Linked DNA regions of Diceros bicornis minor. The protein of the gene in region 2 purifies or fractionates together with the protein of the main gene of each other region. This does not show direct contact. Links are inferred from orthologs where the notes say so. Each region holds a gene or a part of one and is shown on either strand. Other genes may lie near its edges. The genes, in order: RAB3A and SYTL4.

Region 1 (11,870 bases), on a different chromosome or scaffold from region 2:
ACAGTGTCTCATGTGGCTGTCTTGGGCAGTGGTTGGGAGGGCTTCCCAAAGAAGAGGACACTCAGCCGAGACTTGAAGAAGGAGCCAGCAGGCGGGAGGAACAGCCCATGGAAAGGCCCTAAGGCTGAAGGAAGAGTTGCTGGGGCCAGGACGATTGCTGGGTTTGATGGGGCGCAGTGAGCCCGGCGCTTGGCTCGTTCCCCACCCCCAGGCTCGGTTCTGCATGGATGAAGGGCAGGTAGTGAAGCAGCCTAGCCTCGGGAAGGGTGTCGCCTTCCTTTGGAGCACCTGTTTAGAACCTCTCTCCCTTACTGGGACCACTTGTTCTGTGTTGTGTCCCCACACCGGCCACCCTGCTGGGCCGCCTTTCCCCCATCAAGGCTTCTGAGCATCCTGGTTCCTCGGCCTGGGACACTCCGTCCTTCAGAGGTCCTGTCCCGCCGCGCCGTCATCGGGACTCCGCAGCCTCTGACATCCTCATTTCTTGGTTTCCTTCCCAGGCCTTGGCTGCCTGGAGGGCCAGACCCTGGATGAGAGCTGCCAGGAGCTGCGGGACAAGTTCTGGGAATTCTACAAGGTGGGCGTGCCCGCAGGCCACACCCGCGCGCTAGCCCCGCCCCCCGCAACCACTGGCCACGCCCAGGTCCCTCCAGGCCCCCGCCCCTCACCGCACTCCGCCCCGCCCCGCAGGCCGACTGGTGCGTGTGGCCCGCTGCGCAGCTGGTGAACTTCCTCTTCGTGCCCGCCCCGTTCCGAGTCACCTACATCAACGGCCTGACGCTGGGCTGGGACACATACCTCTCCTACCTGAAGTACCGGGTGAGCGCGGTGGGCGGCCCAGGCCCCCAGGGGACTCCTCAGGGGCCACACGTGTGAGCCGCAGAGGGCAGTACAACCATCCTCCAGGGTGAGGGCCTCCTGTGCCCATGACACCCGCACCCCACGGTGGGCAGACAGGGAGCTGACGGCCAAGAGGGTTCAGACTGAGCCTAGCTCTGCTGTGATGTGACCTTGGGTCCCTGTCACCTCTGTCCAGGGAGGCTGACGCCAGCCCCGGGACAGATGGAGGAGGGCTGGGTGAGGAGGGGCCTAATGGGGTGTTTGACCACACCCTCTTGTGCAGACAGACCCCGGGCCCCCGGGCGCCCCCAGGCTGCGGGGCCCTGGGCACCATGCAGGCTGAGCTGCCCCACTCCCCGACCGGATGCCAGACAGGGCAAGACTGACCCCCAGCTGACCATCCGCCTGGGCAGGAAGGGGACCGGGCCCCACAGCAGGCCAAGTCAGGGTCCTGGGCTGAGTCCAGCCTCACCCCAATCCCTGGGCCCCTGGCTGGGTTGCCCACTACCCGGCCTCAGTTTCCCCATCTGGAACACAACCATGAAGATGGAGTCATCTCCACCCTTCTCACCAGGAGCCTCAGCGACCAGTGACGGAGATGTCCCATGCTCAGCATGGGGCCCCAGCCAGTCCCAAGCCCCAACCCCTCAATACTGCTATGGGCTCCCCCACGCCCTGGGTCCCAGGTGGGGAAATGACCTGTCCCCTCTCAGCAGAGCCTGCCTGGAGTCGCTCGCAGGCTCTGGGGCCATAGGCAGGGCCAGGCAGCCTCCAGTCTCCTCCTCTGTCACGGACTGTGGAGATTCTATTAAATTCTCTCTGTAACTGAAAACCTTGTGGGTGACCAAAGCCAGCGCTGGGCCGGCGCTCATAGAGACACGGCGTCGTCCATTCGCTTTATTGGGTGTGTGTAGTGTTGTCATGACATCTCCTGGGGGGGCAGGGGGTCACATTTGACACTCATGACATCAGAAGAGGTCTGGTGGGGGGGTCCCAGGGTGGTGAGTACCCACACAGCAGCGCCCCCTCCAAAAAAAGGTGAGACTGGGGACCAGGAGCCAGGCAGGCGGTTGCCTAGCTTTGACCCACCCGCGGTCCACGATGAGATGCCCACAGCGGCCTCCGCCTACTGGGTCACAGCCAAGGGGCTGGCAGGCCTGGCCACCTCCCATCACCCAATCAGCCTGCCCTGGGGTGTCATCTGCCCCCCTCTTCAAAACCTATAACTCTTGATGGGGGTGAATTAAAAAAAACGTGGGGTCTCGAGAGGAGAGTGAGCGGTGAGTTCACAGGGCCACGACACACCACGGCAGAGTGGGGACAGGGGTGTATGTACAGGGTGGGGCATGGGTGGGTGGGGCGCCCGAGCCCCTGGGGGACATCTCCAATAAATAAATAAATAGCTACGATAATAAATAAGGTGACGGGCCACGCTGGGGCAGGGGTCTCAAACCGCCGTCGGTGGGGGCCGGGTCAGACCCCGGGAGGGTGGGGCGCAGGGCAGGTCTCAGCAGGCGCAGTCCTGGTGTGGGGGTGCCTGCTGGTCCGTGAGCTGGGGGCCCTGCTTGGTGCCGGTGACCGCGGGGTCGGCCGTGTCCAACGACTCGGACATCTTCTCGCAGATGACGTCCACCAGGCGCTCAAAGGTCTGCTTGACATTAATGTTGTCCTTGGCACTTGCCTCAAAGAACTCGAACCCTGCGGTCACGGACAGGAAGGGTGAGGGCCCTGGTACTCCCACTCGCAGAGAGCTCTGAGGCCAGGGAACAACCGGAGATTCCCAGTGCCGACTGCACGATGAAGGCACTGACAAGTCCCATGAGGAAGCAACATTGGACTGGGTCAGCCCTGTATTTCCTGCACTTCTTTCTCTACCTAAAACTGTGCCCTTTTCATTGTCTTCAGGGCTCTGGCAAGACCCACTTCCCTGCTCCCACCCTCCATCCTAGCCCCATGCATTGGCCCTGGCAGCACCTACACTCACATCCAGCCGTGCCCTCCCTTGCTCACACACACTCCATGGTTCCCTATTGCCCTCAGCACGTGGTTCAGGCCACATTTCCTCCAAGTGATCCCTCGCATTCCAGCCGTGTAAAATTATTTGCCAAAACACACAGGATGTTTCCTACCTCTGGCCTTTGCCTAAGCTGTTTCCTCTGCCTGAAAGACCACCCTTTCTTCAAGCACCAGATGCAGTGCCCCACCTGCCCCAGGAAGTCATATCTACAGCAGGCAGAGCCTGGCTCTCCCAGCCCAAGTCCCTCCCTCTACCCCACAAGACTGGAGGCCTCTCGGGGGCCCAGCAACTCCCAGCACGAGGCTAGGCCGTGAAGGTGTCAGAATGAATCAGTAACTTCTGCATAGTGAACTCCTACAAAGCCACCCAGATCTACCTCAGATGGCTCCTGGATCAAGGCCAGTTTGCAGGAAGTGAATTGTCTAGATTCGAACCCAGGCCCTGTCCTGGCTTTGCTGTGGGGCGGGGGGTGTCCCCTCCCTGCAGGGCCTGTCTCCCTTTTCTAGCCTGTAGGTGTCCAGCCCTGCTGGGCACTCACCCAGGTGGTCAGCCAGCTGCCGGCCGCGTTCTGATGACACCACCCGCTCGTCCTCCATGTCACACTTGTTCCCCACCAGCAGCACCTGGGCATTGTCCCACGAGTAGGTCTTGATCTGGGTTGACCTGGGGTGACGTGAGGGTTAGGCCTTGGAGGGTCCCAGCTCCACCCTCCTGCCTCATCTGCCCCTCGCTCAGCCCTCCAGCCCCACCTCCCCGCGACCCCGACCGTGGCTGGCGCCGCGCCTCCTTGCAGCCTTTGGCCGGAGCACTCTGCTCTCTCCTGGTGTCTGCTCGAGCGGGCCCCTGGTTGCGGAAATCCCTCTTTAACAGCCTCTCCCACCCTTCCCAGACCCCTGCCCCCCGGAGAGAGGAATTTTTCCCTCCTCCGCAAATTCACAAATTTTCCTAAAATTTACCATTACTGCTGGACAACAAATATAACTGTTTATATCCTCTGGCCTGTGCAAACCATCCTTATGTTTTCTGTCCACCCCCCATATTTTTTTTCCTATATGTTTACAGTTTCATTTTCTACCTGAAATCCTTTCTTCTCATTATTTTGAGCTGGTGCCACCCTGTTTTAATAAGTATAGATTGACAGCAGGGCTGGGACACCCAATATTGTCATTTACATTCCTGCCAGGGGGGCTGGGGCTCCCTCATCTTGGCCTGTGCCCCGGGCTGTGCACCAAGCCTGGCTTAGAAGATGGTCTGCGGGGTCCGCCCGGTGGCGCAAGCAGTTAAGTGCGCGCTCCACTGCAGCGGCCCGGGGTTCGCCGGTTTGGATCCCGGGCGTGTACCGACGCACCGCTTGGCAAGCCATGCTGTGGCAGCGTCCCATAAAAAGTGGAGGAAGATGGTCATGCTAGCCCAGGGCCAGTCTTCCTCAGCCAAAAAGGAGGAGGATTGGCAGATGTTAGCTCAGGGCTGATCTTCCTCACAAAAAAAAAAAAAGAAGAAGAAGATGGTCTGAGCGGGGATGGGGGTGTGCTCACCAGTCCTGCACGGCATTGAAAGACTCCTCGTTGGTGATGTCGTACATGAGGATGAAGCCCATGGCGCCCCGGTAGTACGCTGTGGTGATGGTCCGGTACCGCTCTTGCCCTGCTGTGTCCTGGGGAAGAAGAGCAGGAGGTCAGAGAGGACCCACATGTAAGCTCCTCAGAGTAGAAATGAGCTCTGAGATCGTCCAGTCCAGCCCCCGAGAGGGCCAGAGAGGAGCAGGGGCTCGCCCAGAGGCACAGTGGGTCAGGGAAGGTGAGCAGCCCTTGCGCCAAGAACGTGGTGCTCCATCATCCTACAGAGTCTGTTACCTGCAGAATCGTTCCCACATTCATTCAACGCACATACACTGGGCGCTGACCAGTGCCACACTCGGCACTGGGCACTGAGGACACAGCTGATAACAAAATGGACGGAAATCCCTGCCCTTGTGGAACCGACATCCCAGTGCAGGAAAGACAGCAAACACGTGCAAAGGAAGAAAACAGATCCATCTTTGGAGAGTGGTAAGGGCTGCGGAGGAAGATAGAGCTGAGCGAGGATGGGCAGTGTGGGCTGGGGCACGGCTGAAAATCCCGGCGGAAGTAAGGAAGGGCTGTGTGGGCCTGGGGGAAGACTGTCCAGGTGGAGGGCACGGCCTGTCACAGGCCCTGAAGCTGGGCTGTGCCAGCATGTTTGAGGGACGGTGAGGAGCTGAGGAGAGGCAGGGAGCAGATGGGGGAGGGGCAGGGACAGCCCAGGCGGGCCTGCTGGGCCAGGGGAGGGCTGCGGGCAGAGAAGGGATGGTTCTGACGGGATTTAATGGGCTCCCTCAGGCCAGGGGACCCTGGGGATGAGGCTGGGAGCCAAGCTTCAGTAAAACTTCACACAGGCTCACATGAAAGAACTTGAAGATGGGGAAACTGAGGCACCAGGCCAAGTGATGCTCCCAAGGAAGGGTAGGAAAGGACGAAGGATTTGCTCCTGCCCTACCCCTGGAGAGCACCAATTAGGCGCCGATGGGAGAACAGATGCACTCTCTTCTATGTCTCTAGCCCGTGGTACACAGTAAGTGCCTAATAAATGCCTAGCACGTGGATGGATGAATGCAGACAGGAAAGAGATAAGTCAAGCTGGGGCCGCTTTTCCGGGGAGCCAGACTGACGGAGCCAGGAACCCCCGGCCGGACCCACCCAGATTTGCAGCTTGATCCTCTTGTCGTTGCGGTAGATGGTCTTGACCTTGAAGTCGATGCCCACTGTGCTGACGAAGGCGGGGGTGAAGGAGTCGTCCGCGTAGCGGAAGAGGAAAGACGTCTTGCCCACGCTGCTGTTGCCGATGATGAGGATCTTGAACATGTAGTCGAAGTTCTGGTCCGAGGACTCCTTCTGCCCGTAGCGCGAGTCTGTGGCGGACGCCATCTGGGGGTGCGGGGGCGTAGGCGGGCGTGAGGGGTCTCCCTCCATCCCCAACCGCCCAGGCCCAGGCACAGGACGGAGAGAACCCCAGAGCTCCAGAGAGCCCATCAGGAGCCCCAGGACCTACGGTGGGACCCACCGCAGAGGGCGGGCGTGCAGTGACCTTGAAAGGCGAGAGGTTTCAGGGGAGGAGCTCAGAGCGACGGGGATGGGGACACCCCTGCAGCCCCCTCCAGCAGACCTGAGCCCAGGTCGGGCTGTAACCCTAAACCCTACCGCGCAGAGACGGGTGACTGCGGCCGGCCCCGCCCCCCATCAATCATACATGTTCCTCAGAACACAGCCACGCGGGCACACGTGCACACTCGTGTACAGTCCCGCGGGGACGCGCGTCAGCAGCCCTCCTTCCCCCAGACTCCCAGGCTGGGAGAGCTCCGGCTGAAGAGGCTGCATCACGTGATAGGGGCGGGGTGTGCACACGTCAGGGCACACACTCACCCGTACATGCGAGTGCACATATGAGCGTCGGACACACTCGGTGCACAGGACAGAGACGCAGGCACCTGTCTGCATACCTAAATGCATACACAAATGTGCAAACCCACCGTGCGCACGGCGCCCTCCACCCATGCAGGCGTGTAGACGTTACCCACACGGGCACGCATCCTCGTGCACGTAGGCACCCGGCCGTGCACGCACACGCACAGTCCACGCGTCTCCCTCCACACGCGTGCAGCACGCACACACTTGGGTCGGACCCCCACGGGGTCACACGAGCATGCCCTGGCACACAAACAAGGGTACACACAGACCCGCCGGCACAGGCGGACGCGCACACGCGTGTGCACACCACGCGCACGCGCACGCACAGAGCCTCCCGCGCGCACAGCTTCCCGCAAGGCATTCGCCTCCCCTCCCCCTCCGCCGCAGAGCCGGGGGTGGGGGGGTGGGAGTGGTGAGGATCCGGCAGGTAGGGGAAGCCGGGGCCCTACCTCTCCCAGACCCGCGACCGCCGCATCCTTCCCCGCCATTTAACCCTCGCCAACCTCTTCCCCCACCCCCGCCAGCCCATCAGTCAAATGAAGGTTATGTAGGTGCTCGAAGCGAAGCGAACCGGGCCGCCCGGGAGCTCACCTTGCCCTGCACCGATGCAGTGGCGACCCCAGCGGCGGCGACTTTTTGTTAGCGGCGGTGACGGGGCCCCGTGCTCTGATGTGGGGCTGCGCGGCGGCGGCGGCGGCGGCTCAGGCCCCTGCAGTCCGCGGTGACGTCCTGCAAAGAGCGGGGCGGGGCCTCACATGCAGATGTTGCCGTGACGCCATCCTGAGGCGGAGCCGCGCATAGCGATGTGGCCCACTGACGCGCTCAGATCCGGGGGGCGGGGCTCCCGCGCAGATGGACATGCAAATGGGGCGGGGCCCAGCGTGCGCACCCAGTAGCGGGCGGGGGCGGTGCAGGCGGGGAGGATCGCCTGCCGGCTCCGCCTCTCTTTCGTGTTACGGAGGCGTGGCTGTGCGGCGCCTTCTCACTGGCTTAAGTGCTTGAGCGACGGACTGAATAGCCAATAGAGGTCGTCACTCTCTTCCCCTGTCCAATGGTGGCTTCTGAGTGGTTGAAGAGCCGAGAGGTTGAGGCCTTGGCCGAGCGTGGGTCTTCAGGGGACGTTCCACTTCCCCGCCCCCGCCCACCTCCGGTCAGGGACTGCAGCGGCCGCCGTCCGGGCTTAGGTGCTGTGACTTCTCGTTAAAAGCCCCCTACTTCCAATTTCAAAAGAGAGGAACAGAGGTCCGACAGATGCTCCATGTCCGCTATTATGGGGTTCAAATAAGTACGAAAGAACAAAAAGAGTAAATAGGGGTCAAGAGAGACCCGTCCAATTTCTGAGATGTAAATCCCGCAAAGAGAGCCCGGCTGGTAGCTGCTCCACCCTGTTTCTCAGACAAAAAAGGAGAAAGAGGAAATAGGAGTCCAGAGAGCCACCCCTCCTCATCAGTTCCCAGAAAAAAGGAAGGGGCTGGCGGGCGCTCCGGGAACCCCTCCCCTCCGTGCACCCCATTTTCCAGAGAAAAATTCAAAGAAAAGGCGGAAGGAGGGCAGAAAAGGGTCTGTCCCCTAAAGCCCCAGAGCCTGCGGTTACAGGAAGTGTCCGAGCGAGGTTCAAAGACCCAACAATAAAGACGCGGGATGGGACGTGCTGTACCCACCCCAGATCCTGAGTCCAAAGGCGAGGACGGAGAGACCCCTCCTCCATCCTGGGGAAACAAGACTCAGAGATGGAGATTTTGGGGACTGAGTTGCTCCATCGTTTATTCCCCCAAGTCTTAAAGGGGTAAAGTTAGAATTGAGGGGGGCTCGGGAGAGTGAGACCCGGGCCCCCATCCTAGGTCCCTGCCCCCCGACTCCTGTCCCCAGACCCGGCGGGGGGGGGTGCGGCCCCAGGAGAATGCTGACCCCCCCCCATTCCTCCCCAGCAGGCAGGGATGGAGCGGGGGGCGGGGGCGGGGCTCGTCCTGGTTATAGAAGGCTCTCCAGCTGCGGAGGCGCCGGGAGACCAGAATAGCTTCTCGCCTCGAGGCCGCCCCCGCCCCCAGCGCCCTGGAAGCGCAGGGACGTCGCTCCCGCTCCGCTTGCATTTGGGAAATCTATTTTTTCTAAGGCTAACGTTGTCCCTCTCCCCCACTTGGACTATCGAAGTACCACGAACCCACCGCAAAGAATTGGGAAAATGACATAAAAAATAGATGAAAGTAAATCCACCACAGTCTCCCCCCACGCAGAGACCGGCAGTGGAGTCCCCGCTCTGGGTGGGGCCCCAAGCGCGGCTGGTCCGCCCCGGCCGCGGCCCCTTGGCGGTGAGGTCGTGCGAGGCCGCTCAGCTCCCCGACCGCCCTAACGCAGGTTTCCTCGGGCTTTGTACGTGGATGGCGCTCGGAAGTCCCTACTCGTTTTTTCTCGTGGGGAGAAAGCCCACAACAACATGCACCAGCTTCTGCACAGACGACTTTGTATTTTAAAACAAAAATAACGGAAGGCCTATGTTGTTAAGAATCAGCATTCGGCTCTGGAATTAGGGATGGTTGAGCGCCAGGGTGGGGGTGGGGGAGACAGGACTGTGGATTTGTGGGGGTGGGTCTCCTGCGTGGCAGGGGAAAGAGCCAGTGGGAGAAGGGCCTCAAACTCTCCCAAATCTCACCCCACTCTGAGTAAAGTCCAGACTCCTCCTGGAATCCCAGGTCCCACCAGCTACCTCCACGTCTTATCTTTCTCCTCCAGTCAGACACGCCCTCCTCTGGCTCTAGGTGCAATCCTGCCTCAGGGCCTTGGCACCTGCTGTTTCCTCTGCCTGGAGCACTGTTCCCTCAGCCCACCCCATGTCTGGTTCTCTCATCCCCTTGAGGTCTCTGATCAACACCCACCTCCTTCCAGAGATTCCAGTTTTGCCCTGTCACCTCCTGTCACATCCCCATGAGAAGTGATCATGTTGACTTATTTATCCATTAGGCATCTGTGAGCTCTGAGAGGCAGGGATTGTGTCCCCAGCACCTAGACCTGTGGACACAGTCAGTGCCCTGTGATGGCATGACATGAATGAATGAATGATTGGAGGGAGGGTGACTTTGGCCAGGGAGATTAGGGAGGACCTCTCCGAAGACGCGACATTTAAGCAGAAACCTGAGGGAGGAGGAGAAGGAGCTGGCCACAGGGAGAGGTAGGGGAACAACATTCCAGACAGAGCAGCACGTGCAAAGGTCCTGAGGCCGGAACTCACTAAAGAAGCTTGAAGGACAGCCCCTCTCCAGTTCTGGGAGGGAGGTAGGACAGGCAACATTTTCTCCTTTAACAGAAGGCAAACCAAGGTCCTGAGAGTCACGCTAGGAGTTCACCAGGGCTGAAAGTTCTAGGGGCCCTGAAGACCTTCTCCCACCCTCCTCTTTGGGTCTAGGATGGGCCACAAAGGCAAGGACTGTGCCCCTTGGGAAGGGCCCCAAGCAGAAGAAAATTGGGGACCTGGAGCATGGGCCTCGATTTCCACATCTGTGAAATGGGAGAAGAAAGAGGCAGAGTTGATCTGACTTTGAGCAGGTGGCTCAGTGCCTGGCTCAGGACACACTCTCCTCAAATGTCACCCTCTGCAATTATGTGGTCCTCACGAAGAGCCCATTTCACCCGGGGAAAGGACAAAGCCTCAGGGAGGTGAAGCAACTTGCTGAAGCTGTCGAAGTCCATCTCTGGGGGACACTGAAGATGGCATGGTGGACCTGGCCCAGGCCTCTGGGGATCACGGTGGAGGGGCCAGGGAGGGCTTCCTGGAGGAAGAGACACTGGGATGAGGCCCAAAGGGTGAGGATGAGGGGGAGAAGTAGTCCAGGTGATGGGCACAGCATGTGCAAAGGCCCTGGGGCAGGGCCGTGCTTGGGGTGTGGAAAGCCATTGTGGGTGGAGTGTGCTCAGTACTGGGGAGAGGGAGGGATGGCCTGTGGCCCAAATTGAAGGGGAAGGTATGAATGTTCTCATGAACGGGTGGAGAAAGAACTAGAGGGAAATCAGATGAAATACTGAAGGCAGATGATCTATGGGTAAAGTTATAGCATAATTTAATTTTTTTCTGTATATATTTCCATTATTTCCAAATTCTCTACAGTGAACAAGTATTACTTGTAAGTAAAGGGGGAGGGAGAAAAAATTATAAATAAAAATCCCCTAAATCTCTGCCTTTTAAAAGTCTGGAAGGAAAGGTACCAAGTTCCCGACCCAGATGACCTTTAATTCCCCCTCTGTGGCATCTGCCCGTTAGCTGTGATGGTGACTGGAATTGTCGGTGGAATTATTGAGGGAGGAAGCCGGGAGCCGCTGCAAAGCCTGTGGCATGTATATATTTTCACACTCGGGGAGGGAGGCGCGGGGGGGATACTGAGGCTTGCAGAGGCCGGAATCGAACCCGAGACTTGAGCACCGAGCCGCCTCATCTGCTCGCCGAGAGGCCGCCCCTGCCCCAGGAAGAGCTCGACCAAACCAGGCGCAGTGGGGCTGCCGCTGGCGCACGTCCAGCGCCCAGCTGTGGGCCTAGAGCGGGCAATAGAATTGCTCTGCGCCTCAGTTTCCCCATCCGCGAAATGGACACGGTAATAATTTTGTGTAATAAGGTTCATTTAACCCCAGAAAATGTTCAATGCCCCAACTTTCTAAGGTATTTCAGGGAGGTCACAGACACCACCCCTCAACCAAAGTTTACCCAAGGACTAGGATAGGCCATAGACGGGCAACTGAGGCCCATAACGGGCGATGACTGGCAAGAAGGGTCAGAGGCCTCCTTTCCCCTAGGGAGAGTCCGGGGCAGTCTCAGAATGAGGAAGGCAGAGACCTGCGGGGGCGGGGAGGGGTGTGCAGTGGTATTCTGTGCTTTTGTTGCTGTTCTACAAGAAAGAGAAGGTGGGGGACCCCACAGGGGGTTCTGAGGCTAGAGAGAACAGGGAGCATGTGCACCTGGAAACCCCACCAAAGAAGAAACAACAACAACTTAAAGCCACAGGTGGTGCAAACAGTGACAGGCTACATCAGCCTTCAGAGACGTCCTGACAGTCCTCTCTGCCGGGCCCACCCCCGCCCTAGGGAGCGGCTGGGTCTGGACGGAGCTTTGGTGCTGAAAATTCCCCCACTCAAGGCCCCGCTCTCTCGGAGCGAGCCGCCTGGCTGACGGAGGGAGGCGCCTGTGGGGCATCTCCTTGAGGCTGACTCTCCACCCCTGGGCAGGGCTACCCCCGAGGCAAGCAGCAGGCACAGGCCTGGCACATATCAGACCCAATAAATACCTGACAGAGAATGAAAGAATGAAAGAATAAAGTGATGGATGTGGCTCAAGAGTGAGCACTGGAGAAGGTGGGCAGAGGGCCTGGCAGACACCCCCTTTCCACACCAGGGGTGGAAGTTCAGGAGGGAGAGCCCAAGGGCTCTGGAAGAGGCTACCCCTAGCCCAGCCCCTTGGAGAGCTTTCTCAGCAGAGCTTTGGGGGAAGAGTGGACCCCAGCCAGGTGCCTCCAATTCGACCTTGAGATGTGCCTATAACTAAAAGTTTG
Region 2 (11,526 bases):
GAAGATCAAATGGCCAATAGATATAAAAAAGAAAAAGTTTCACTCCTACTGGTAATAAAGATATTTTTATGTTTGCCTATCAATTCAGAGAAATTTTAAAAAGACAATATTCGATTTTAAAAAGGGAAGACATAAGAGATACTCTCATACTTTGTTGGCAAATGTAAATTGGTAAAACCTGTTGGAGAAAGCAATGTGATGATTTGATTTCTAAAAAACTGAACTTCACAGAACTTATCACAATTACAATTAAATCATTGATTATGTGATACATTGTTTAACATAGACCTCCTCTGCTGAAGTAAGTTCCATGAAAAAAAAGGCCATCGTCTATCTTCTCCACTACCTAGCCTAGAAACTGGCACATTGTAGGCCCTCAGTAAATCAACCCATGCTTTCTGACAAGTTGCAAGCAATAGTTGAAAGACACTGATACTAAAGCTATTCTGATGCCTGAATTGAGAGAGCTACAAACAAGAAACAGTGTAGACGCCATGGAAATTTTCCATCTCTTAAGAATTACTTGAGTTCAAGGTAGGTTTAGATAGTCACAGATATGAAAGCCACTGTGGTCCATCAATTCAACTATTCCACCAGCACCGTCTGATCTCCTGCCTTCTTATATTTCTGTCACAGCCACCCAGAAAAATCCCCCAAACTAGATTGTCTACATTCTGTTTCTACACCTGGGCTGACGAGTGCCGCTGAAGAGAATGGATACAGGGTTCTGGGACTTGGGGCAGAGACAAATTCAAGTTATCCAAGCCTTTCTTGACTCACTATGATGTGGTATCTGGATGATATGCTTCTAAAGAGCTCCTCTTTCCACCCCTCTCAAATGCTATTCCAACTCCTCATCACTCTCGTCAGATGGGTCCTCCCTCAAAATCCTGTCCTTCCACAGCCCCTTCCTTCTTCACAGCTTCACCAGGCCGGCTTGCCACAAATATTAAGGAAAAAATATATTGCTCTGTCTCAATGGGAGAGCTACCTCCCTTTCTCTAATGCCAATCTTTTCACCTCTTTCAATCTGGAGCCCCCACCCTCCTGCTTCCTCAGAGACTCTGCCTCATCAAGGTCTGTGCCATCTACACATAAATGGGCTCATCTCTCTCCTATATTTAAAACAAAATGAAATTAACAACATTTTCTTGTCCCCTGTGCCCTACTGTCTATAAGAAACACTCTCACCTTCCCATCATAGCCAAGCCTCTTCAAACTGTATACCATATTCCTTATCAGTCCTTCTTCATGCTCACTCCCCAACCCTCTACAATCTGCCTTCTCTCCTCCCGCAGCACTGATGTCGTCATTGACCTCCTAATTGCCAAATCTAATGAACATGTTTTTTAAATGTTTTATAGTGTGTTTTATCTTATTACAAGAGGGGTACACATCATGAACAAAGTTATGACATATGACAGACTAGAGAGAAAAAAACTTGCACTATATAACAGGCAATGGGTAAATATTCCTAATAAATATACTGTTCTTATAAACAAATTAAATATATAACCCAAAAGAAAAATGTGCAAAGGATATTAAAGAGTAAGTCTCAGGAAAAATACACATAGCTAACACACATGAAAAGATACTCAGCCTCACTAGTGATCAGAGAAATGCAAGTTAAATCAGTTAGATACTATTTTTCACCTATCAGATTGGCAAAAATTAAAAAGACTGTCCATCCTCAGCAAGGGCCTGAGGAAAAGCAGTCTCAGTGGTGAGAGTGTAAACCTTCTTGGATGTCACTTTGGCGATGCTCATTCACATTTTTAAATGTACATATCCTTTGACCCAACAGTTCTCCTACTAGAAAGCTATCCCACAGAAATATTTATGTGTGTGTATGTCTATATCTATAGCCATCCTCGAGCATTGTACAAAGATGTTTATTGCAACCTTGTAGTGGCTTAGACTAGAGTGATAGGCAGAGGAGATGGAGACGTGGCAGAATATATGACACAGCTGGAAGGTCAGGTCAACAGGACTTGCTGACGAATTGGATGCGGGGGGCGGGTGAAAGAGAGGAATCAAGGGTGACCCTAGGTTCTTGGTCTGAGCAACTGAATGGATGATAGTGCTATTTTACTGAGATAGGGGAGGCTGAGGGAAGGGGCTGGGGATGTGAGAGGAATAAGGAGTCCTGTTTGGCCATGCTACGTTTGAGATATCTATATGACACCCAAGTAGAGATGTCAAACAGGCCACTGGACAAATGAAGCTGCAGCTTAGAAGAAAGGCTTGGGTCAGAGACATAAATTTGGGAGTGATGAGGTGTATAGATAGACGGTATTTAAAGCCATGGGGCTGGAGGAGTGCTTCTAGGAAGATTCTGGATGGAGAAAAGTCCACAGACTGAGCCCTGCGTCACTCCAATGTTCAGAAGTTGGGGAGATAAATTTAGTAGAAGAAGGGGCTGAGCAGAAGTTTTTTGTACAAACTTGAGTTTCAAAGAAGTTAACATAAATCAGATGGTGGAGAATCACATACTTACCACCATAACAGGGGGCCCAACTCCTTCCAAGCCTGTCTTTTAAGGGATTCTAGCCTTTTTTTCTTTCTGGATATTTCAAAATACATTTAAACGTAATAGAACTTTTTTTCTTTTATGTTACGTAGTGGTTTCCTCACACTGTATAATTCTCCTAGTATAAAACTAGTCAAGTACTACACAAGTAGCACTCAGCAATGGCTTTTTCATAAAATTCATAATCCGATAACTACCTCATGCCTAAAAGGCTAAGGGTGACTTGCGGTCAGAAGCTTAATTCGCGGCATCTTTTATCCTTTTGGGCTGTTCGCTTCCCTACTGCACAGTAACTTGCACCTGCTTCTTACTTACGCTTACACCAAATGCCTAAAACACCTCAAAACATCTGACAATCCATGTCCCTTCCTCTCAGTGCAGCCCCCCTTCCCACCCACAAGAAGCACAGCATCTTTACATTTCCACTTTAAACTTTAGAAGTTTCCATTCAGAGACTCATGCCTTAAAAAAAGAGAGGAAGTACTTCCAACTAGGTCCAAGTTGTCATCAGGAATATAATCTGAAAGCAAAACTCAGCAGAAGGAAAGCTGTGTGAGAACTGGGCCTGAGGCAACCTTATAGCTATAGGGTGACTGACTGGGGACACTTAGTTTCAGGTCCAGGAGAGCACAAAAGAGGCCCAATTCCTAGAACGGTCATGTCATTCATTAATTCATTTAACAAATATTAGTAAGCACCTATGAGGTGCCAGGCTCTGTTTTGGGTGCTGGGATCCACTGGTGAATAAGACAGACAGAAATCCCGGCCCACATGGAATTTACATTATGGAGTGGGGAGAGGAACAGACAATAAAAAAGAAAAATGAATAAAATACACAATATGTTACACTGGAGTAATAAGATAGGGAAGAGGCATATAGAATGTTCAGGGAAGGGGTTGCAAGTTTAAATAGGGTGGTTAGGGAAAGCAGGTGAAAAACAACTAAGAGAGGTGTTAGGGCTTTCCTAAGGTGTAAACAAAGTGCTTTAGGACACAGGATAACTGGTAATTCTGCTTAGGGGAAGGAATTGTGTGTTCAGTAAGGTTGTCCCAAAGGAAGTGACTTTAAAGCTAAATCTTGAGAGATGAATAGGAATCAATGGCAGAGGAGTGAGTCTGAATGGCAAGTTATCTTTTCAGGGGGAAAAAAAAAGGAGCAGCTTGAGCAAAGGCCCAGAAATGGGATCAGGGAGGACATTTTCTCCTGGACTGTCCCTGCCTAAGGTACTCCATCCATCCCAAGAACACACTCACCCTCAGGCTCCCTGGTCTGGTTGCTGGGAAATCCTTATCACTTCCCACACTCTCATTTCTCCCCTAGCCAGCAGGAAAGGAAGGAGTTGAGTCAGCCCTAGGATCCAAAGTTACCCTCTCCTAACTTCAGGACAATTACTACAGAGCTGAGTGCCCCAGAGGCTTCATTCAGCCGCGTACACTCAGGGGTGTGTGCTTTTAGTGGCAACGTGGCAATTGGCCCCATGTTGGAAGTAAAGTGGGCAAGTGGGGAAAATACCAGTGAGGTAAGTAGTCAAAAGTCTCCGCAGTGCATCTGAGGTGGAGGCAAGGACCAAAACTTATGCTTCAGCTTGGAAGGGAAATTTTTAATCACTTAGTCCTCACCTATGAGCTATTTAGTGTTCCCAACATCCAAGACAGCACAGGTGGTGTGACAGGGGATAAGAACACAAGCCCTGCAGTCAGATGGCCCAGCTCTGCCCTTCACCAGTTGGGTGATTTGGGGCAAGGCACTCAACCTCTGAGTCTCCTTTTCACCATAACATGGTTACAATTGTAGTGCAGAGTTACCATGAGGATTATATGAGATAGTTATGTATAGAATTTATCACAGTGCCCAGCTCAATGGATTCTAACCATTATTAGTAGCAGCCTTGAAGGGGAAAAGCCCAGAGAGCATCAACCAGAAAGCTACCCTCACTCACAGATTATGCCTGAACAGGCCTCCAAACTCCATTTCACTGCTCCCACCTAGAGTGAGGCACCTGAAATTATGTTATCAGAAATGTTCATTCCCTGCCAGGGAAATCATTTGGTTAGCCAAGTTAGTGGTCTTTTTCCACTAGGATTTCCAGCAGGTGCTAAAAAACGACGACAACAACCTTCATCAGGGACTCAACTCTTTGCATTAAACATTGTTCTTTCCACAGACCAGCGGGTAAACACATTAGGTCATTAACACCTTAATATTAATGGATTTATGAGGGGTGGGGGTGGGGAGCTGAAAGAGCAGAAAAGAAGCCAGTTAAAAATAGGAGGTCCAGGATGTACTGAAGACTAATTTCTGTCACAAATGTACAAGGTCTAAGGTCAACTCTGCCAAAAGCAGTATTCTGGAATGCTAGGTCCTCTCGTCCTGAAGAAGCAGGGTGCTGGGGAAAGAAACTGTTAGTTAATGAGAAACAGACCACCTGTTCAAGTCGCCAGAATTCTAACCAAATGAGTTCACTACCAAAAACCCCAACCATCTCATCCCACGTGAATGGCTGGAGGCCCATCTCTCTGCCCCTTTGCAAAGTATCACAGAAGACAAAAGCGTTCTGTGCCCCTTCTAAGGGTTCTGGGGACCCTCCTCCAGGAGCAAATCCCCGCAGCCTGCCTGAAGGGTCGCAAGATAAAGCTGCTCGGCTCCAGGGCACACAGCCGGGTCCCCAGTCCCTAGCGCAGAGGGAGTCCACTGAGGCAGGACTCGGGGCCAACTGGCCTCCAGCCCTTACCTGAGGCGGACAGACCGAGGCCAGGGAAGCCGACGCCACGACGTCCAAGGTCCGGAAGCAGTGCGGGGCCGAGACCCCGCGCGACGGGCCGGGCGCTGCGAGAGGAACCGCGGAGAAGGTGACTCGACGCCTCCGAGGGCGCAGTGCCCGCTAGGCAGCCGGCCGCACCCCCGCCGCCAGGGCCAGCGCTCGGGCGGCCCCAGCGCCGGCGGGCGGGAAAAGCCGAGCCGCCCGGCACGAGGCGAGCCAGAGAGGAGACAGAGCCGGAGGGGCACAGCCCGCGCTAGCGACGGGTGGGCCGGGGCAAGGGCCCGCAGAGGCCCAGGAGACAGCAAAGTGGCGGGGAGGAACCGGCCCAAGCAGACCGGAGTCCAAGCGTGGGCGTGCGGTCCAGACAGGCGGACAGGGCAGAGGGGACGGGCGGTCAGCTAGAGCCGGGGAGGAGGAAAGAGTGGGAGAGCGGAAGGGGGGAGGGGAGGGCGCGGCTCCCCGAGATGGGGGTGGGGGCGCTTGGGCAGCGAAAAGGGGCTAGGGGCTCAGGAGGAGCCCCGACCCAGGGCGAAGGGGCGGTCGCTAGCCGCGGACTTACCTGTCACCTGCAACAGGTGCCGCGAGAGGGCGAGATGTCCCAGTGCCGGATTCAGGGCAGGGTCTCCGACTCAGAGAAGACCGCAGCCCCGCTCCGGCGGCCTGCCCTATTCACCCTCCCGGGAGGCGGAAAAAGCTGCAACTTTCCCTAGAGCGGGGAGGAGCTGGGCTCTTAAAGGGGCCGCACAGCGCTCCGGGCTCCTTAGTAGGGGGCCGCGCCACCCGAAGGGGAGCTCTGGGAGCCACAGCCTTAAGGCACTGGAGAAATGTCGTCCCGGGTTAGAAAAGGGAGCTTGAGGACTGGAGATAGGGGTCTAACACTAGACCTGCCCCGCCTTTTACTTCCATCTGTGGTCACTCTCTCAGATGATAAATCACTTGCCTCTTGCGCTCTGCTGAGCCAAAAGTTGTCAAACTGTCGTGTACAGTGGGATTCGTGTCTAAGACGATGCAGAGTCTAGACCATAAAATTTTAGAAGATAAAATATGATACTATTCTGATCCTTTGACTTTCATACTTTTATGGCAAATACAAGTCTGTCTAAAATAGAAACATTTGGGGTAAAGACGTAGACTAACTTCACACCCACAAACACAACTGGTTAAAATATTCAACTCACTAGTAATCAAAGAAGAGCAAATGAGAACAATAATGAGATTCTTTGGCAAAGGATTTTTTTGTTTGTTTGTTTTTATAACACTTAATGATGACAAAGTGGCCACCAAACAAGCTCTAACATAATTCCTGGGAAGAGTGTATGTTGGTTAAAAATCCTTTTAAAAAGCATATGACCAATATATATCAATAGATTTTTAAATGTTTATATCTACCTAGTAATTGTTGATTCCTTTCCCCTTCTCTCTCTCCCACCTTTGCTCTCCCTCTCTTTTTCTCATCAGCCATTAACCCTGCTCAAGTCCCTCTCATCTGTCATCAGCAATTAAACATGCTCAAATCTCTGGCATCTTAAAAAAAAAGTCCTCCCTACACCCTAGGTACCTCTCCAGCTCCTCTTTAAGGGCAAATTTATTGAAAAGGTACTTTACAGGTACATTTGCAATCTCCATTCCCTTACTTCTCATTCAGCAATTTGGCTTCCTTCCCCAACACTTCACTGAAATTGTGCTCAACAAGATACCCAACCAATGACCTCCCTGTCAATAAATCTATGTCAATAAATAAATAAATAAATAAGGCTTTTTCCCTCCTTATCTTGCTTGACCTCTCTCCTACATTTAACGCTGTTAACCATTCTCTCCTCCTTAAAAGTCTTCCTGTGGCCTCTATGACTCCACACTCTTTTGGTTTTCCTCCTACCCCTTTGCCCTCTCCTCAGTCTCCTTTGTAGATTCCACTCTGTTATCTAACCTCTGAAAGCTGGACACTCTCAGGACTGGGCTACATATACTCTCTCCCTAAATGATCTCTTTCACTCACTTGGCTTTAATTATCATCTATATGACCACGACTGTGATTTTATAGCTCTGTCCAGACCTCTTCACTGAGCTCTGCTTTCTTGACATGTCCACTTGCATGTTTGGCAGGCACCTCAAACTCAACACATCTAAAGCTGAACCCACCATCTTTCCTCTTAAATTTGCTGCTCCTCCAGTGTTTCCTATTTCAGTAAATGACAATATGCCATCCAAGTTAGAAACTTGGCACCTAGCATAGTGCCTGGCACATAGTAGGCCCTCACTAATATTTGTAGAATGAATGAATGAATGTGTCCTAAGGAAACAGAGACATTTGCAAACTTTTTCTACAACAATGTTAATCCTAGTATTACTTACAATAATAAAATACTAGAAAAAAAAACCTAATGGTTCAATGGTTAAGTAAATTATAGTATAATCATACGATGGAATAATAGCCAACAAAACTGGTATTTACACATAGTTCATAATGACAGGAAAATGCTTATGTCTAATATTAATTGAAAGTAGGATACAACATTTAATATAAAATATTGTCACAATAATTAATGGAAATTGGGGGATAGGTGTGGAAAAAAGACTAGAAAGAAATATGCAAAATATTAATAGTGGCTATCTCTAGGTGGTAGAACTAAATGAATTTTTCATTTTCCTCCTACTTTTCTGTATTTTTCAACTTTCTTATAATGAGCATATATGGCTTTGATAATATAAAACATCTTTTTTGAAAAATATTAAAAGGGAAAGAGAAAAATCATTTTAATTCTGGCAGACAAAACAGTAAAATTCAGCTCTCAGGCTCTCCCCACAGTTTTTTTCCATCCTTTAGCCCTTCAATACCCACCTGCAGCCTGAAGTGTGAAGAAACCACTTCAAAAAGGAAATCCTTTTGTTTTGTCTAGCTTTGCCAGCTCAGTCCTTGGGGCCTCTCTGCTCAGCCCTAGGCTTTGAATGCGTTCCACCTCTCTAACATGACCTGTGGAAACTCCCACCAAGCTCTTCTCTGCTCCTTCTTTGCAGTTGGTACTTGGCAGGAACTGGAAACACCCTTGGCCGGAAGGGACTTCAGAAAACATTTAGTCCAATCCCCTTATTCTTCAGCAAAATTTCCAGATATTATTTTAGGTTTTTTACCTTTTTCTATGTGTGCAGTTTCTCACTCGCCAAGGTCCACCTCATTAAAGAGGATGTGAGGATCTGACTCCTTTACTCTAAGATAGTCTCACTGAACCAGCTGGAAATACACAGAGACAAGCATAAACAATGAACCAAAACAAAGTTCGTCAATGGCCTGTTCACATAGATTCTGTGCTTTGCAAACTGCTGTCCATTTCTGTTTGATCCTCCTTGTTTGCCACAAGGACTCTGTGCTCAAATTCTTATGCCAAATACTGAGAGGGGTCCAATGCAAGCAAACCCAGGCAGTATCCTGTGCAGCAATGTAAACAGGAACTTATGGATTATTATCCTATGTATAGTATGTAAGCTGCTGTCTCATAGTGAATGACTGGCTTCAATGAGTTGTTCAACTTTGCCACACTGAGGAAGTTCTGGCTGGTGCAAACTAATAAGATGGAGATTTTCCTCAGCCCCAGGTGACAGGATGCCTCAGTATTGAGCAATTGCTCATTCTTAAAAGTATTAAATATTTCAAAAGTACATGAATATATAGAGAATAATATAACAAGGATATGCCCACTACCCAGGTTAAGAAATAAGGCATTACCAATACAACAGAAGCCCTCTGTATACACCTCCATCCTAAGGTTTTCACTGTCTCAGATTTTATCTTGATCATTTGCATGTATGTCTTTATACATTTGCCACATATGTATCTATCCCAAAACTATAGGTAGTATCACTCTGTACGTACGGTCTGCAATTTGCTATCTTCACTCGAGATTATGCTTAGGAGATTTATCCCTATTGATATATGTAGCTTTAATTCATTCACTTTTACTGCTATAGAGCATTCCAGGCGTAAAGATATTGTAACTTATATATCTGTTTTTCTATTGATCAAGTACTTTTTTCAATTGCCAAGTCTTTTTTTTTTTTTTTGTGAGGAAGATCAGCCCTGAGCTAACATCCGTGCTAATCTTCCTCTTTTTGCTGAGGAAGACCGGCTCTGAGCTAACATCTATTGGCAATCTCCCTCCTTTTTTTTTATTCCCCGAAGCCCCAATAGATAGTTGTACGTCATAGTTGCACATCCTTCTAGTTGCTGTATGTGGGACGCAGCCTCAGCATGGCCGGAGAAGCGGTGCGTCTGTGCGCGCCCGGGATCCGAACCCCGGGCCGCCAGTAGCGGAGCACGCGCACTTAACCGCTAAGCCATGGGGCCGGCCCCGCCAAAGTCTTAATTCTGGATGCCAGGACACTACCTCTTCATTTCCTGTTGGGTAACAGTTTACTTTTGTAAAAAACAACAAAAAATGCAGGCTTCCTGACAAAGCAAATTTAGTGCACTAATGGTCCTCAGTGAGTATAGGGTGTAAAAAGTAGATTCAGTCTCTTATTCAATCAAGATCAGGGTTTCTCCACCTTCGCACAATTGACATTTTGGGCCAGGTAACGCTTTGTTGTGGGGGCTATCCTGCGCATTGTAGGATGTTTAGCAGCATCTCTGGCCTCTACCCACTAGATGCCAGTAGTGACAACCAAGAATGTCTCCAGATATTGCCAAATATCCTTAGCTGAGAACCACCAGTCGAGATGTACTGAGCACCCATTATATGCAAAGCACTTTATAGGTGCTATGGGAAGAAAGAAGATGAATAAACACTGAAAAAAAGTCCTTTCATTCAAAGATATGTTCGAGCTTCTACTATGTGCAAAGCATATTGTGCCAGGCACTGGGATTTTGGTGACCCTTTCCTCAAGGAATTCACAGTTTATTGCATGACATGGGGGGAGGCAAACCACAAACATAAAATTATAATATAGTGTGGAAAGTGCAAAGCTGGGAGATACACAGGATATGTGGGAGCACCTAGGAAGGCCACTTACACCAGCTTGGTGGGGAGTGGTCAGTGAAAGGTCCCTGGATAAAGTAATAGCTTCTCTGAATCTTTAAGAATGAATAGAAATTAGCTAGACCAAAAAGGCATTCCAAGCATTCCAGGCAGAAGAATAGCAAAAGCAAAAACAAAAAGGCTGGAAACTCTAGGTCTATACAAAGGAAGTACAAGGAAGTTGGTATTGCTGGAGCATAAAGTGCAAGAAAAAAGTGATGATAGATGAGGCTAGAAAGATGATGTATTAATTTGCTAGGACTGCCATAGCAAAGTACCACAAACTGAGTGGCTTAAATAACAGAAACTTGTTGGCTCACAGTTCTGGAGGCTAGATGTCTGAGATCAACATGTCTACAGGGTTAGTTCTTTCTGAGGGCTGTGAGGAAAACTCTAATCCCGTCGCCCAGCTCTTGGTGGTCTATTGGAAATCTTTGGCATTTCTCGGCCTAGAGAAGCATCACCTCAATCTCTGCCTTCATCTTCACGTGGCATTCTCCCTCTGCATATGTCCTTGTGTCCAAATTTCCCCCTTTTATAAAGATACCAGTCATATTGCATTAGGGTCCACCCTAATGACCTCATCTTCACTTAACTAATTACATGTGCAATGACCCAGTTTCCAAATTAGGACACATTCTGAGGTACTGGGGGGTTAGGACTTCAACACATGAATTTTGGGGGGACACAATTCAATCCATAACGGATGAGTAGGGATTAGAACTTCAGAGGTCTTGTGAGTCATTTTAAACAATTTGGACCTTATTCAGTAGCTAACTATAGTCATTCAAGGATCCCTGGAGTTCTCTACTCCATCATTTTTGGTGACGTCACTAGAATCATTCTTCATTCTTTTCATGGCTGAATAATATTCCGCTATATAGATATACCACATTTTGCTTATCCATTCATCAGTTGATGGACATTTGGGTTGTTTCCACATTTTGACTCTTATGAATAATGCTCAAACAAACATTCATGTATGAGTTTTTTTGAGCATATGTTTTCAAATCTCTTGTGTATATACCTAGGAGTGAAATTGCTGGGTCATATGGTAACTCTGTGTTTAACCTTTTGAAGAATCACCAGACTGCTTTCCAAAGTGGCTGCATCATTTTACATTCCCACCAGCAATGTATGAGGGTTCCAATTTATCCACATCCTCCATAACACTTGTTATTATTGGTTTTTTGATTATAGACATCCATTCGATATGAAGTGATAT

Evidence for each region.
Region 1: the proteins of SYTL4 (region 2) and RAB3A purify together in Homo sapiens (affinity purification with mass spectrometry; 3 studies listed by BioGRID and IntAct, counting the BioPlex papers as one, with this or other methods). This does not show direct contact. The link is inferred for Diceros bicornis minor from reciprocal best matches to the Homo sapiens genes SYTL4 and RAB3A.

Annotation. Positions count from the first base shown.
Region 1 is NC_080759.1:5,872,877-5,884,746, forward strand, and holds RAB3A (ras-related protein Rab-3A), read right to left. Parts: upstream 6,662-11,870; 5' UTR 5,905-6,661; coding exon 5,572-5,904; intron 4,512-5,571; coding exon 4,393-4,511; intron 3,521-4,392; coding exon 3,396-3,520; intron 2,539-3,395; coding exon 2,348-2,538; 3' UTR 1,725-2,347; downstream 1-1,724. Other genes in the region: MPV17L2 (mpv17-like protein 2), read left to right, coding at 501-577, 691-819, 1,415-1,594. UniProt on the Homo sapiens protein: The small GTPases Rab are key regulators of intracellular membrane trafficking, from the formation of transport vesicles to their fusion with membranes.
Region 2 is NC_080781.1:93,785,417-93,796,942, forward strand, and holds the start of SYTL4 (synaptotagmin-like protein 4), read right to left. Parts: upstream 5,940-11,526; 5' UTR 5,852-5,939; intron 5,741-5,851; exon of another isoform or gene 5,263-5,740; intron 1-5,262. UniProt on the Homo sapiens protein: Modulates exocytosis of dense-core granules and secretion of hormones in the pancreas and the pituitary. Interacts with vesicles containing negatively charged phospholipids in a Ca(2+)-independent manner.